Lepisosteus oculatus: one gene and its partner. The protein of the gene in region 2 interacts with the protein of the main gene of each other region in a pairwise test. Links are inferred from orthologs where the notes say so. Each region holds a gene or a part of one and is shown on either strand. Other genes may lie near its edges.

What was found.
Region 1: the proteins of kpna5 (region 2) and anp32b interact in binary tests that used the Homo sapiens proteins (3 or more experiments, as listed by UniProt). The two-hybrid records come from large-scale screens. The link is inferred for Lepisosteus oculatus from reciprocal best matches to the Homo sapiens genes KPNA5 and ANP32B.

The regions. Positions count from the first base shown.
Region 1 is NC_090696.1:59,047,735-59,055,323, forward strand, and holds the start of anp32b (acidic leucine-rich nuclear phosphoprotein 32 family member B), read left to right. Parts: upstream 1-4,505; 5' UTR 4,506-4,671; coding exon 4,672-4,725; intron 4,726-7,589. UniProt on the Homo sapiens protein: Multifunctional protein that is involved in the regulation of many processes including cell proliferation, apoptosis, cell cycle progression or transcription.
Region 2 is NC_090697.1:32,627,555-32,635,089, reverse strand, and holds the start of kpna5 (importin subunit alpha-6), read right to left. Parts: upstream 3,032-7,535; 5' UTR 2,907-3,031; coding exon 2,903-2,906; intron 90-2,902; coding exon 1-89. Other genes in the region: zufsp (zinc finger-containing ubiquitin peptidase 1), read left to right, coding at 5,250-5,808, 6,511-6,609. UniProt on the Homo sapiens protein: Functions in nuclear protein import as an adapter protein for nuclear receptor KPNB1. Binds specifically and directly to substrates containing either a simple or bipartite NLS motif.

The DNA of each region.
Region 1 (7,589 bases), on a different chromosome or scaffold from region 2:
CTTCGTTAAAAGAAGTGAAAATCTCATCCCAGAAGAGACTGTTTAAGGGCTATCTAAAGAACATTTGCTAGCTGCACAAAAGAAGCTACACGTTGGGAGTCCCCAATTAACTGTGGAGATTTCCTTACGAATAATAAGCATACTTATGGAACGAAAGAAGTGTTCAACCCATCTGCCATCCACAAGCTCCAAAGGTGTCATTTCACGGCACCTTCCTGGTTGCCAGAGACTCTAACTGATGGAAAGCAGCCAAAAGTATTGTGTTGAAAAGCTGTGACTGGTTGAATGGTTGAAAAATGGTTGAGAGTCTGAGCTCTGCTTTCCTGGAAGTGCTTGAAATGGACATTTCCAGATTCCCTGCACAATGCTACCTGAGGCCCGGTGATAAAGGTTTCTCAGGTTGAACCAGAGTAACTGTTGGAGCTGTTCTCTTTGTGGGCTGGTAAAAGAATTATTTGACCCTATATGGCATTTTAATCTAGAGAAAAGCATTAGCATTCACAATTGTGAAGATCTGATTGTGAGAAGCCTAAGACAGCAGGAGTTCCATCAATCAGCTAATTAATTTCTCAATCTGAAACCCTGGTGGAAATTCCTGTGCTCCACTTTTATGTCATCGTAATGGTTTTCGTATCTTGTAAAATTACACAATGATATTAGTAACACCTCTCAGCCAGTCACTAATTTTGTCTCAGGGTAGAATGAGGTCCAGATTCAGAAGACATGCAAAAATCAACATTTAAATTAGGATTTTATCTGTACACATCCCTTGAGATAAGAACATCTGAAAAAGAAAACAAAATGTGCATATTGTATGAATTTAGATTATAGCATTATAGCATGAATAAGAATTAATAATATTGGAGGTATTTTAACTGTAAATGAAAACAAGGCTTGGTGTTATCGAAAGCTGGATCTGCTCTAATTATTGCTACATTCCTTGGAGATATAACATCTGTAACCCATGGTCTGAACAGCTGTACCTTCACATGTTTTTTTTCTGTAACTATGGCAAAACTTTTATCTATACTGTATATATACAGTATAAGGTTACATAACCCGTGTATGTGTTCAAGTGGAGAGCTGCGTCAGCATATGTAGGCTGTAACGGAACAAGTAAAGGTTAATTCCATACTGAAAAACAGAAGGGAGAAACACCATTTTTCTGACGTAGAACCTTCTTCATGTATGATGAAGGCTGTACAGCTGAAACATTGTTTCTCTTGTCTGTGTTTCACATGGAATTCATCTTTTCTTATTTTTTTACACAGATTTATATGTAACACGTTTAATGTTGTAAATCAGCATACAAATACACTGTTACTGAAGTGAGTACTGTATGTGATCCAGCCATATTAACAAAATAATAAAGATTCAAATGGTAAAGAACATGTAAAAAATGTTAAGAACATGGTATGAATGTTAAACAAAGGTATCATTCCATACAAAATCAACCTGATAACTTTCTTAAAAATAAGGTACCTACATTTTTCCTGTGGAGGAAGGATTTGAGGCAAAATGTTTCTGTCAAAACAAAATAATATCACTTTCCATCTGAAAAACAATCCAAACATCAGAAATAGTCCTTATTTAATGAAAAATGTGTACCGATTGTATGCTTTATTGTTTTTTCTTCCACAGGGTGTTTTCGTTTTGTGGTTCGATTGACATGTTGGAGATTTGTCCTGTCATACAAGAACATTCAGCAGTTGTGACAGTGCGCCTCTTTCAAATGTTGCTCCTTATTCTGTGTGAAGTGAATATAACATTCAGCCAAGAAGGCTTTCTTATTTCAGAGGGGAGAGCATTTCTCTGCCAGGTCTCAAAGGAAAACAAAACACCTTTGATGGTTCAGGATGAACTACATACAGTATGGATAATCTATAAAACTGCAGGGCCTCAGTAGCCTTGCAATGATCATGCAAAACATATCAAAATGATTCTTTTGCTTTGGAAAAATAAATTTTACCTGTCAAAACATTTGTGTATTTCACAGTGAAAGAGAGGGGAGTCGAATGTGATAAAGCTAAATGACAGCTCAGGGAGGCAAAGTACATCCCTGACTCTTAAAAGCTGCACACACATATTCGAGTATAGAAAGCTTCAAGTAAATCCGTATCCAAAAGTTTGGTTTCCCAGACTTTACCTGGGGGACCACTGCTGGGCCAGGGAGGCCAGCATATGAAGACAAGAGGACCTACATTTCAAAAATATGATGGGCAGTGGTAGCCTGGCTGTGTGACACAGGATTTCTGCAACATATCTGAACTGAAAGTGAGCTTCTTCCAGCCAGAAGGATCTGCTCATGCTCATGTCCTAGAATTGATCATGTTCTTATGATGTCTAGGGGCCAGGTATTTAACAGTTGCAGGCAACAAGGGCAATGTACAGGTCCTTATATCAGAAGATGACATAAGTAAAGCCTCACAGATATTACGCAATTGGACAACAACAAAGATGATACGAGTTGTTAGGGATTCCAAAAGGACGTCTGTTTTTTTCTATTTGTTTTTTTTCCAGAGACATTTTGGGTTTAGACAATATGTGGAGAGCAGAACGTTCCAAATCACATTGCATGTTGCATTTCCCTTAATAATGACCTCTCTATCATATAATTTGTCATGGCTCTTAAATTACCAGAAGCTCCACTCTGTTATTTTCTGTGCTCATACATTAGTGCAATCTGTAGAGCAGCAAACCAAAAAATAAAAACAAATAGGCTGTTAGTTGAAAAAATGAACCCCTAACAAACCTCAGAGTAAAACAATTTATCTTTTGAGGGGCATGTGATGAACTTATAAATGACACCAAGAGTTGCTTGGAGTAGATCAGAGTTTAACAATGTCTTCAAGCAGGCCGTGCAAATTAGAATTTGTTCTAAATTATCTTATCTGGACAAATGTTTCAATATAAATTAAAAATAAGATACCTCTTCTAAATGTACTGAATATTCATCAGTTTATTGATTTAATCAGAGACCCTTCATTCTACTAAGAAGCAGAAAACACACCTTTATTTAACCAGATAAATGAACGAAAGAAACAAGCTCTTGATTACAGTGAAAACCTGTAGAGTACCCATTTATACAGCTGGGCATTTTTCTGGAGTAACCTTGAGTGACGCACCTCACTCAGGATTACAACAGCAACGCTACACCTAGGATTTGAATCCACAGCTTTCTAATTAGAGGTCCTGAACCCTAATCGTTCCTCCACACTGCTGAGTGAAAGGTTCTAATGAGCAAACTGATTGCAGAGACAGAATGTGAATACTTATTTGTGTGAAACTGCGCAATGTGAAATTGTAGCAATATGGCTTGGCATAATGTAGTATTCAAAGCCCAAATCTAAAAAAACGTTCACTTTATTTTTTCTGTGAAAGCACCGAGCTCCCAAGTATATAGCCAGTATATACGCATTCTCTGTCAAGTTTTTAAGGATAAAGTGGTAAAACAAACAGAGCCCATATTTTTTCTTCATGGCTGTGAATGATGAATAGCTGACACATTGTACAAGGGGCCTATTCAGTACAGCCAGGCTCTGAAAGGGTTAAAAGCAACACAGCACCTTTTGTAAAGATCATAGTTTGGAATTAACAGACCACTCAGAAATACAGCTCCAGATTACTTGTATAATAAGGCTATTATTTATCTTTGATGATAATGATTATAATAATAATAATAATAATAATAATAATAATAATAATAATAATAATAATAATAATAACAAATGCAATTTTTAACAAGGTCTACCACATTTTTGAGGTTATTTAACAACACAACTCCCTGTTCTCTCCTTTCCGTGTCCTCTGAAAAGTACTTTCTCTCAGAAATTCATCCTTGCATTACTAAAAAATAATTTTACATTTGTTCCTTTGGCCATTGCTATGGAGACAATACAATTTTTTGATGTACTTATAAAAAATAAATGTTATTCCCCTCAACGTTTATTGTACATTTTTATTAAACAACTTAAAGCATGTCAACGGCCTTAAGAAAATAAGGTAGGCTTTTTAAGAATTATATAATAATTTTGTACCAGGCCATCTATCTCTAAACAACTGGATTAATGTTTGGGTGATATTAGTATGCTACACTACACAAACCTTGTCGCCATCATTAATGGAAATCACAGTATAGTAAACCTGTTGATAAAACAACCTACACTGCTACAGTTTATTACTTATAACGGAAATACAAAATAAGTAATAATACAATTTCACGCAGCACGATTTAAACACGAAAGCAAATCGTATCTGAAATGATTTTATTTGTACACACAATTACATAGTGTAAGAGTGCACAGTCACTCATAGCTATGCGTTTTACCTTAATTCAAAAGAGAGAAATTGTCCCTGGTAAGAAAACTACAATAATGAATGAAATGCCTTTGGCAACGTCATGTTCGGGAGTATGACAACAGGTCAGTCAGTGACTCTGCATTGCCTGTTTAACTGCAATGGGCGTCTCTGGCCGGCGGCGGCAGTATTGAGTATATATGTGTTTCAGTCCCATTTCCCTCCATGGTTTCTCCTCTCCCTGAGTAACTTGGCGTTTGGCTCACTTCATTATACAGTCCCATATTCTCCCTCCATTAAGGCATCTCTCTGCGTTTTGGACTGAATCAAAAATCCTTAAAAACCCAAGAGGAAAAAAAACTTTTAAAGGGGAAGATGGACATGAAAAAGAGGATCCACTTAGAGCTGAGGAACAGGACCCCATCTGATGTAAGAGCTGCTTTTTCAAACCTTAGTTTGTTACTTTTTCTGCTTTCCTGGTGATGACCTGTGTAATGGTGACCACATGGGTTTAGTTTTTTATTTTTATTTAATAACTGATAAATTACTGCTCAAGTTTCCGTATTAGGCTTTATCGAGGTGGTTAAATCTTACAGAGCTACATAACCAAATAGTTTCGGAGGCTTGGTTGTACAGTATTTAGTATTATTGTTGCAGTCGTTGCCTTTAACCGTTTCGGAGCCTCTTGTCTCCGTGTTGCTCCCTCGCTGGTGTGATAAAGGGTAACTTTTACTTGGCCGTATAGCGGGAGGGCTGCTTCTTTTTTATCGATGCATAGATAAAATTGATTTATTAGTTTTTTTTTTTGTTAAAGGTTTATTTTTACAGAAGGCTCGGTAGCCATATTTGTAACAGCATGAAATGGGGCGCCCTTTATTACAAAGCAGTTTTTTAAATAAACCTCGCTGGTGTAGCGCTGAAATAAGTAGTCTGCTCTAAAGAAGTACGGTGCAGGGTTATTCATAATCCTAAATTGAGAAGCAGCCGGGGTTGGTTTAACGTGTTTGCTTTCAACGCCCCAAAAGAACCAAAATCGTAGAAAAAAAATACTTAAATCACACTCCCCCCACCAAATAATCTAAATACACGTTTGTTTCAAGCCGAGAACCCAAAGTTGCAAACCGTTTTTATTTTCCTTCGAGGTTAAATCTTTCCAGCAATAATTACATGTTACACATTTTAAAGAAAAAAACGGTATTTAGGTTACATTCTTCCACAATAACCTACTGAAAAATACCATTTCTTTACACAAGACCTCCATAAAGCGTTAACGATTTATGTAAAAGTAGTGCACAGTTCCCGCCATATTACTACCCATTAAAAATACAAATCCGGTAATGTTTAATCCGAGATTAATGTTGTTTTTCTTGATTTAAAGCAAAATACTTTGATTTCACGGCAAAATATACTGCAGCCTCGGAATATTCAGTTACAAGACTAGCAAGTACAGCACCCAGGTGGCAAAAAAAACCCACGCTTCAACCAACACATGCAAGACGAATAACACGTTTCAAAAATGTTAAAGGTGAAGTTTTAATACGAGCGTATCTTTTGGTTTTATGAAGTGTTCAATCTAACTTTGCAGGTGAAAAGGGTGTTTTAAATCAATGCAGAAAAGTTATTCCGCTTCTTTTCCCCACTGCTCGGAAAAGCTCGGAGTACAGTCGCTCGGGAATCGCCATGTTGTCGCCCTGCCGTCTTTGAAGCCCTCGGAGAAAGGAACTTTCTCCATCTTTGTCCTCCTAATTTCCGTTCAAAACGACTCCTTCGTCATTCGCACTCGCACCAAGATACGATATTTCTGCTCAGTCACGTTTATTATTATTCGGATGTTTTTGTTCGGAGGCGATAAAAAAGTCGTTTTGATGTTTTTTATTGAAAAATATAGACGAGGCGGTCAATCCTCAGCGATGCTGATGTTTGATGGCGGGCTGACGGATTCTCTCTGCAACCCCGACAACAGCGCTCTGGCTCTTAAAAGGGCAATGGCTGGGAAGACAAATCATTGCCTCCAGTCACTGCAGCACAGGCACACGGTGAAGAGCACGAACGCATGCACTCAGTAGGCCAAGGATTATTATGCGTAATTCACCTCGTTTGCCTTTCCACAGTAAACAAGAACGCTTTTTATTGGTATTACCACGTTAAGTTTCTACGTGCTTTTGTCTAGAAAAGTTCACTCAACAAGGCGAACTCACCGTTTAGAATATTTATACACTCACGTCGAATATGTTCTCATTGTACACCGAAAACCTTAGTTTGTTCCAACAAATTCGTTAAATAACAAATCTCCTTTCCCCTTATTTTCCAGATTTGTGCTAGTATAAAAAGAGTCCCTTTGGTTACAATCATTCGTGCATTTCTGCACTGACGACTACAGTTTTCATGAAAGGGATGTGGTACACATTTGTAATTGTGAGAGCTCTCAACAAGCTGATTGAACTCTGGGACTGGTTGCATATAAGTTACAACACCTGAAATTTCAAAAGCATTATTAAAACTGGATAACATTTCGCTTAATTTGGGTATTGAATGTGTTATATACATTACTTTGTACCACCTTTAAACCTAAGAAAACTGGGGATGGGGGGTTAAAAAGAATACATGGAGCTAGAACAATAATGTGTTTTTGCTTAGTGTAGCTTGTTTCTTTAGCGACAAATCTCAGTTTTTTTAGGGGTCTTAAAATTCAGGGTGTGGTCACTTTGTGCTATAAATGAGCAGGTAAGTTGATCTATTGGCATTTTAGATTTAATGACTACTATTGGTAGGTAAAACTATGGATCAATTTTATGCCCAGTGAACATCCTTCAGACAGGAGATGTAAAGAACTTCATCTAACTTGCAAGTTTGACTAAATGACTGAATGTGTGCCTCAAAATAAGTCAATTTGTTGTATGTTTAAAGTGATTTAGTCAGTTAACTCTCTGGACTTCTTCAAGACTGACTGTCCAAAAGAAACTTAGGGGAAGTTAATTAAAAACTGGGAAATAGATGCACTTCATTACACAGAGAGTTGCAGGAGTCTGGAACAAGCTCTGCAGCAATTTTAAAGCCGATACCATTGCATCTTTCAAGGAAATGGCTGGATGAGATCCTTAGATCAATGAGCTACTTGCCAATCAAGGACAGATGGGTTAAATGCACAGTTCTTATAAATCACTGTTATTCTTTACATGTGTAATTCTCATTAATGAAGGTATTAGATTCTTTTAAAAATTATATTGCATTAATTGGTATGAGGACATTAGGGGCATTTTTGCCCAACATTTAGAAGATGTGAAGTAGAACAG
Region 2 (7,535 bases):
TCTTCGCCTGCGCATTTCCTGCGGATTCAGCGCTTTGTTCTTGTAACTCTTCATTCGGCAGTTGTCTTTCACGGGGCTTGCCATGGCGTCTGGTTTGAATACAGAGAATAGACTCAGGAGGAGAGAATAAAAAAAGTTCACGGTGAAATTTTAGTGGACGCGTCCCAGTGTCTTTGTGCACTTCAATACACCTTTCCCCTCATTTCACATGGGGGTTCACTCCTGGAAAGCCCCCTGGCTGAAGAAATCACATGTAATGAATATTTAAGTTCATGGGGGGGAAAAAGGGATTGAGGTGCAGATGACCAGCATTAGACTTGTAAACCTCATAATAGACCTCACTTCTTTCTTTCAGTCACATACAACACATCCCTACACTTACTAAGCACTTCTCCCAATTCAGGGAGACAGGGGAGGTGGAGTCTATCCCGGGAAGCAATGGGCGCAAGGCGGGGAACACCCCGGGTGGGACTCTAGTTCATCACGGGACACGCACGCACACACGCACACCAGGACCAGTCTTTCCCAGAAGCCAATTAACCTACCAGTGTCTTTGGACTGTGGGAGAAAACCAGAGTGCCTGGAGGAAACCCATACAAAGCTCCACACAGATAGCACCCAGGGCACGTAACAAGTAAATCAAGTGTACATACACAGCAGAAATAAAAGGTAATTTAACGAATTTCCCATACATTAATAAGAGAAAGTTTGAGATGTATCATTACTGTCTTTACCACCATTCATCTTTCCACTGTAACACATGACTCTAACTAACTAGCCGCATGGCGCTACGGCCCTTGTAGAGCCCTGGCCTCCTCCACGCATCTCGGCCCCATACCAGTCTTCGCCATCCTCTCACTCTCAGCTTTCTGAGGTCTTCAACATCGTTTATCCATCTTTTGAGGACCCTGTAATCCCTAGAGAGTGTGTCCCCCATGGGGCGGATGGGGGAGCCCACCATAACAGCAGTGTGGCCCAAAAATACAGAATAAGGGCCCACGGACCAACAGGGATCCACTGCCTTGTGGACAGAGGAGGGATCCTCAAAGGCTAAGAGAGACGACCCTAACAGAAATCAATTTAGGTCGAACGCTTTAAGGAGGCAGCCCCTCCATCGCACTTCGAGGTGGGACTAACTACCCCATCCTGTAAAAAGTAAAAGTTACAAAACCAAAACATGATTCACCCGACTCAAACTGATCCAACACATCTGACGTTATCACAGATCACGAAAGCGAAGAAACAAACGACTTCCTCACTTGTAACAATTAGGAGTCATGGCTTCTCACCAGATAGTTAAAAAAAAACAGGAGGGAGCCACAGGGAAAATGAAAGAGACAATATGCAGCAAGCATCAACACAAACGAAAAAGGACACGCTGCTGGTTTTCTGGGAAGGTGGCAGAGACGTGCCACCAGTGACTGAGTCTGCATTAGACCATGTATACACAAGACTCTGCCAAAGCTTGCTGAAATTCTGGCATCAATGAACGCTATGTACATCCGTTTGTAAAATGTGTGTAAAAACCAAAACTACAGGGAAGACCTCTATGGTGGAATTGTTACCAATTCATATTGCAGTAATACAGTGATATCCCATTTCAGTCTCCACAAAAAAGATTCCCTTTTAGACCTTTCATTCGTTTTTTTTGGTGTGTGTGTGTGTGGGGGGGGGCGTTGAACATTCTTTAACAAGTTGGTACACAAGCGACTCTGGGACCTTCACTTTCTTTTACCTTGGGAAACCACTACCGGTAATTTCCCCCCCATTTTACTCAAAGTATACCCAAGTTGACTGAAATACATAAAGCCATTTCAGCTTCGAAGAATGCAGTCTAGATATTACAAGCGTAGATCATAGACAAAGTGAAAATATTAAGTGACAGCTTTAATGCACCAAAAATAGTGACATTTTAAACTTAAGTGACCTTCAGCAACAGCTAGCGACATTTGCAGAATTTATGACAGGGGTGTCGTCAGTCAACAACAGGAGAACTGTTGGGTAGAAGAACTGGAAAGGGTAGAAATGTGAAACAGCGTTATTAGTAGTTTGAGGGGTTCAAATTCCGGGAGAGGCACCGATGTTGCGCACTGATCATTAACTCGAACTGTTTCCTGCCCATGCCCAGCTATATAAATGGGTACAAATGGACCAAAACTGTCAGCCAAATAACGTTAACTCGGCGGAGAACACAAACCCGAACCTACGCTTAGAGCAATGCCAATTATTTTATTCGAAAAACATCACTGCCTGACCCGTCATCGCCCATCAACTATTTGTTCATACGGTCACTGTACATTTACGATACACTTCAAACCAGACCCATCACAGGTACGAACTAAGGCTAGGCGACGTTACCAGATAAGATCATAATAGGTACAAATTACGATATTCAACATTAACCTAAAGAGACAATTACATACCGCGTACAATTTATTTAAAAAAAACGCAAGTCGGCAAGATTCCAGGACAAATGGCAAACACATTTAAAGACCACGGTTACCTGTGTCTTCAGGTGGGCTGCACCAGGCGTGCTCACGAGTATCACAAGACACTAAACAAAACCAAGGTAAAATACAAGACCGCAGCCAACCTTTAGATCTTCTTCCACAGCCTGTCTAGGACTTCCAGTGACCCCAAACGCCTGGTTACGAGCCAGTTGCCAGCCTCTGGGGCCTACACCCTCCGCCAACTGGCCACCTAACACCGGAGCTCAGAACTGCAGGCACTACAGATTTTCTAGTTACATCCCCTCCCACGAAAGCCACCTTAACTGTAAATAAACAGCTGAAACTCCTTCAGCCTGGCGCCTGGCCTCCCCCGTGTACCTTAAAGAGCACGGCATGCTCCGCTTGTCAAACAAGTGACTACGATGACCGTGTAAGGGTTAGGAAGCGCTTACCCATGTACTGCCTTGCGTGCTTAGTAATTGCGCAGCTCTATTTCCGAGCACTGCCTCACCAGGATTGCTAACACAGTTCAGCGCAATATGGCGCACCTCTGTCAATTGCACAGAGGACTCCCAGCAGCCCCCTTATGTCCGTCAGCAGGAGATTGTGGCCAATCAGCGCTGGAGCTCGGTAAGATCCAGGATCCACGACTGCTGCAGGTTTTTCTGACAGACGAAAACGCCTGCATTGCACAGGGACACTGTGTTATAATAAAAGCAGAACATAATTTAAAGGCCTGACCCGATCAGAGATTTAGTAAAAGCATCTCCGCGCGTTACGGATACTTCAATGCGAGATTTTGAAATAGTATGAAAGAAGTATGAGGTATAGACTTGTTGGGTTAGGATGCCTCCGTCTTCAGCATTACACACAGGGACATTGAGTCGCCAGAGTCCCGTCCTGACCACACAGGAGGTAGACGGAGTACTTTAGCACTTATTCCCAACACAGGGAATACTCTCGGAGCACGGTTTACTCATAACATAAAAGTGTAAGCATGCTACAGAGCGTGTTTTGTACGAACAGTGCACAGAGAGGGTTAATGTGTCTATTTCTTCCCAAGCGTCGAGATTCCGCATTACGTCACCTTCATGTTCTCAAATGGCCACGGCCAATGACGTGACGTATTTGCACTCAATTGGCTCGCGGCCTTGCCCGGGCGGGTGGGATTCACGTGCGGAAGAGAGGAGTCGGCTGAATGGAAAATGAAAACGCAAGTGTTGTTGCTGCAATAGTGAGTGTACAGCGGCAGCGATCAAAGCGGTAGAAATACGAGAAAGAAGGGTGAGGAAGCGAGGCAAATTAAAGCGCACATTTCTTGCCCTGTTTTTATCCGTTTTCAGAGCTTTCGGTGTCTTTAAAGATGATTTTAAGTTGTTATGCTTCTCTACCTTTCCGGAGAAAAGCGCGGAATAGTGTTAATTATTTATATTCTTTTTATCTTTGTTATGCATTGTTATTCCCGGTTAGCTCTTGGCCTTGGTTCTTCAGGACTGTTGTCATTCACGCCGCGGTGAATGACAACAATCCTGTTTTGTTTGTTTTGTTTTGATTCAGCTTTAAGAGATTTCTTTTAAAAACATCATATTTTCAATGTACAGTATGTTGTGGTGTCCGGGTACAGGAGCGAATTTGTTGAAACTTTCTATTCTTTAATTCATAGTTACTGATAAGTACTTATTTCGGATTACATGTGTCAATATTTTTTAACTGAAACGTATACAATTTATGTAACAGAATAACACTCAATTAGTTTTTGGATGAGGACCGAAATATACACTGTGTGCTTATGTAAACGACCATGAAACCTCGCAGTCTCTGGTCCAACTGCACCTTGAGTCTCGTACGTATTTTGTATTTTGCATACGTAATCCATTTCTTAATTTCATAAACCCTTTCCTGTTAAACGCCTTTTGTCAAGCATCTGTAAGTTGCTTTGGATAAAAGTCTGAAAATAATATTGCTATTGGGAATAGTATTATTAAGATACGGACTCCAGCTCATGTCAATTCACGATGCATTTCCACTGGTGTCCTCTGCTGTGTGTTTTTATTTGGAAGACGTCCAGCAACAGAACAGCAACAAAAAAAGTCAAGCTCTTTAAACCTGTCAGTGCAGATCAGATCATTACTTCAACCCAGGAATTTGTTAAGTTTAACTTCTCTGGAGAGATTCCAATGTAGCAATATCCTTTTTTGTTATTTGGTTATCAAAGCTGTACACTTAATGTAAATGACATCTTGTGCTTTGTACCATTTTAAGGTTCTGTAACATCTCTTGATATGATTTCTAAGCTGTGACTGTATTATTTAACATTTTACTGCCCTTTTAGAGCTTTTTACAGTGTCAAGAATATGTAAATGATGTCCATACAAACACCTAGGCCTACAGAAAGTCGTGTTTTATGCTGCACAAATGACAATTCATTTTGAACTAACCTTTTCTACGTATTGTGTCCTTTCCACAGATTTCTTACTACTTGTAAATTATGCCAGAACTGTGGAATATATATTACAGTGTTTAAAACCAACCAATATTACCCATCGTGGTATAATGTTATAAAAGTTTAAAATACTGTCATCTTTCAATCTTTATTTTCTTTTTGTTCTGTTCAGTCAGGGTTTGTGTAATAATGCACGACACTTACATTGTTTGCTTTTTATTAACGGATTTATAGTTTTTGTAAATTATTTTTGTTATTAGAGGTTGATGTCAGATGTTTGTCATTGTGTACCTCTGTGGCAAGATCTGATCACGCAGCTTTATTTTTTATTTCAGATATAATTGAAGGCTGACATCATGTTTGCTTGTGAAATCTGTGGTGAGGAGGGGCTGTCTGAAGCTGACATGAAGACTCACCTCCTCCTCAGCCATTTGGAAAATGAAATTAGGTGCCCGATCTGCTGTCTGTCAGGTGTGACCTACGATGAACTGCTATTTCATATTGATATAGCCCACTCAGAGAATAACACTGAGCTATCAGAGACCTCCGCTCGGAAAGAGGTTAAATCAGGTTTGGATATAGAGGTGGTAGAAGCATCCACCTCTGGCCACACGGACAACACTATGGAAGTATCCGATCCTGAAGGTCCCCAGAACTCAAAGCATGTAGTTGGTATGTCTCAGGATGCTGCACACGTGCTAAAGGATTCTTTTACATGGAAGGAAAATGGATTAAAAATACAAGATCAAGGAGAATCCACAAAAGTCCCCCAAACGCCGAGAGAAACTGGGATGGCTGCTTCAGAAAGAGTTGTGAGTCACGCAGCATGTACATCCGAACGGGAGCATGTGGCGAAGGAATGCTCAGGACCACAAGTAAAGGCAAAACAAAAACGCATTCATTCACCCAAGAAAGGTAGGTATTGTATAGCAGCGTTGTAATAACGCTTGTCTCTCATGTAGTTCCTTTCCTAACCATCTGTATCTGGCATTTTCCTTATGGATCAAAGAAGGAAAAATAAGTGTGAAATTAAAAAAAAACCCTGCAAGTTATTTATTAACAGCTAGGCCTTGCACGAATAAGAAGAGTGCCATAAATAATACTATTTCTTCTAGATTTTTTCTAGAATATTTATTCATTATTCTAGATTTGAAGTTCCCAGCAGGCACCGGGTTTGTTACTGTATGTGTTTGTTACTCTGCTGCAAACACTTGTCGTCTGGATTGCATTTCCTGGAATTAGGAGCTAACAGAGTTACGTTCAGTGTGACGCAGATTGCATTTAGGGATGCATCGGATAGATAAGTAGATATTTAACAGAGTTCTTCCCATTCAGTGCTTTTTGTGGAGTTTTGATCCAGTACTCTAAACCTGTAGCACAATAGGACCGAACAGTATTGACAGTATTGTTCACTTTGGTGTCTCTGAACTTCAAAGCTGTAGTAGGTTCTTAGCGTGGAATCTTCTTCAAGTTTATGACTGCATAAGTGCAAGAAGTTGGTCTTTCCGTTTCCCTTTTTGCAGACAATTTGCATTAGCAGCTAGGCATGTTGTCTATTTTGCTCAGAACTATGTGTCCTTTGTATTTTAATCTTTTTTTATTCTTATTGTTATAAAGAGAGGATGTACCCATGTCCAATGTGTTCCCTCGTCTGCGCCGATTGTTACATTCTGCAGGAGCACGTTGAGCTCCACCTACAAGAACAACACACTGAAGGTATAGTTAGCACAACCGTAATTGTAAGATACTGTATTAGTATGTCCTTTATAGAACATTAAACAGTGTACTGGCCATGGAAAGCCAGGTGATGATTCACTTTTTTATTAGGCAACTGCTACTTTTCCAGTCCCCTTCAGGGTTCTCGGATCCTGCGCGTTCCTTAAAATGTCAGTTTTGTTTAACTAGTATGTAACTCCCGGTCTTAAATTTAGTCTTTTTTGTAGTTTGCAACTCTTTCCTGGGTAGTTTTTTTTGCCCCGATTATCCATTGTGTTTCTGGCGTGCGGGTCAGTTTAACAGTAAATTATAAGAAATTATTGGCATTCTTTTATTTACAGTTTTATAAATAATTTTATATTCATCCACTGGTCTGTACAGCTGACTCCACTGGGTTATTCCTGGAGTGATAGAATAGTTACCGGAAGTTTTACATCTTCAAACGTTTTAGAACGTAAAATTCACAAAGAAGAGGAAGCCATTTGTCCATTAGTTTGATTGTTTTTTAGTAGATCTCAGCCAGAAGTTTCTCAAAGAATGCTGTGGCTAGGTAGATTTTTCCATACTCCCGCAATCCTTTGTGTAGAGACGTGCCTCCTGTTCTTAGTTTTAAATGAGCTTCCCATCAGTCTCCATTCATGTCCCAATGTTTGTGTTTCACTGTTCTTTCTGAAGTCCACTGGGCTGTCTTTCTCAGTGTGAGTGAAAATATGCAGTTCTTCTCTGAACAGAAAAATGGCTACATATAAGAGTAGGACATTCAACTAATTTACCATGATTAATAGTAATTTATTGATCCAGGGATCTCGTTCAGCTGTTTCTTGAAGGAGCCCTTTCCTAAGATATCATTTTCCAGATTCCAGAGCAGCAAAATGTTTTGCATGGTGGTGACCAAAATACACAGTACTTTGAAAGAGTAGTATAAC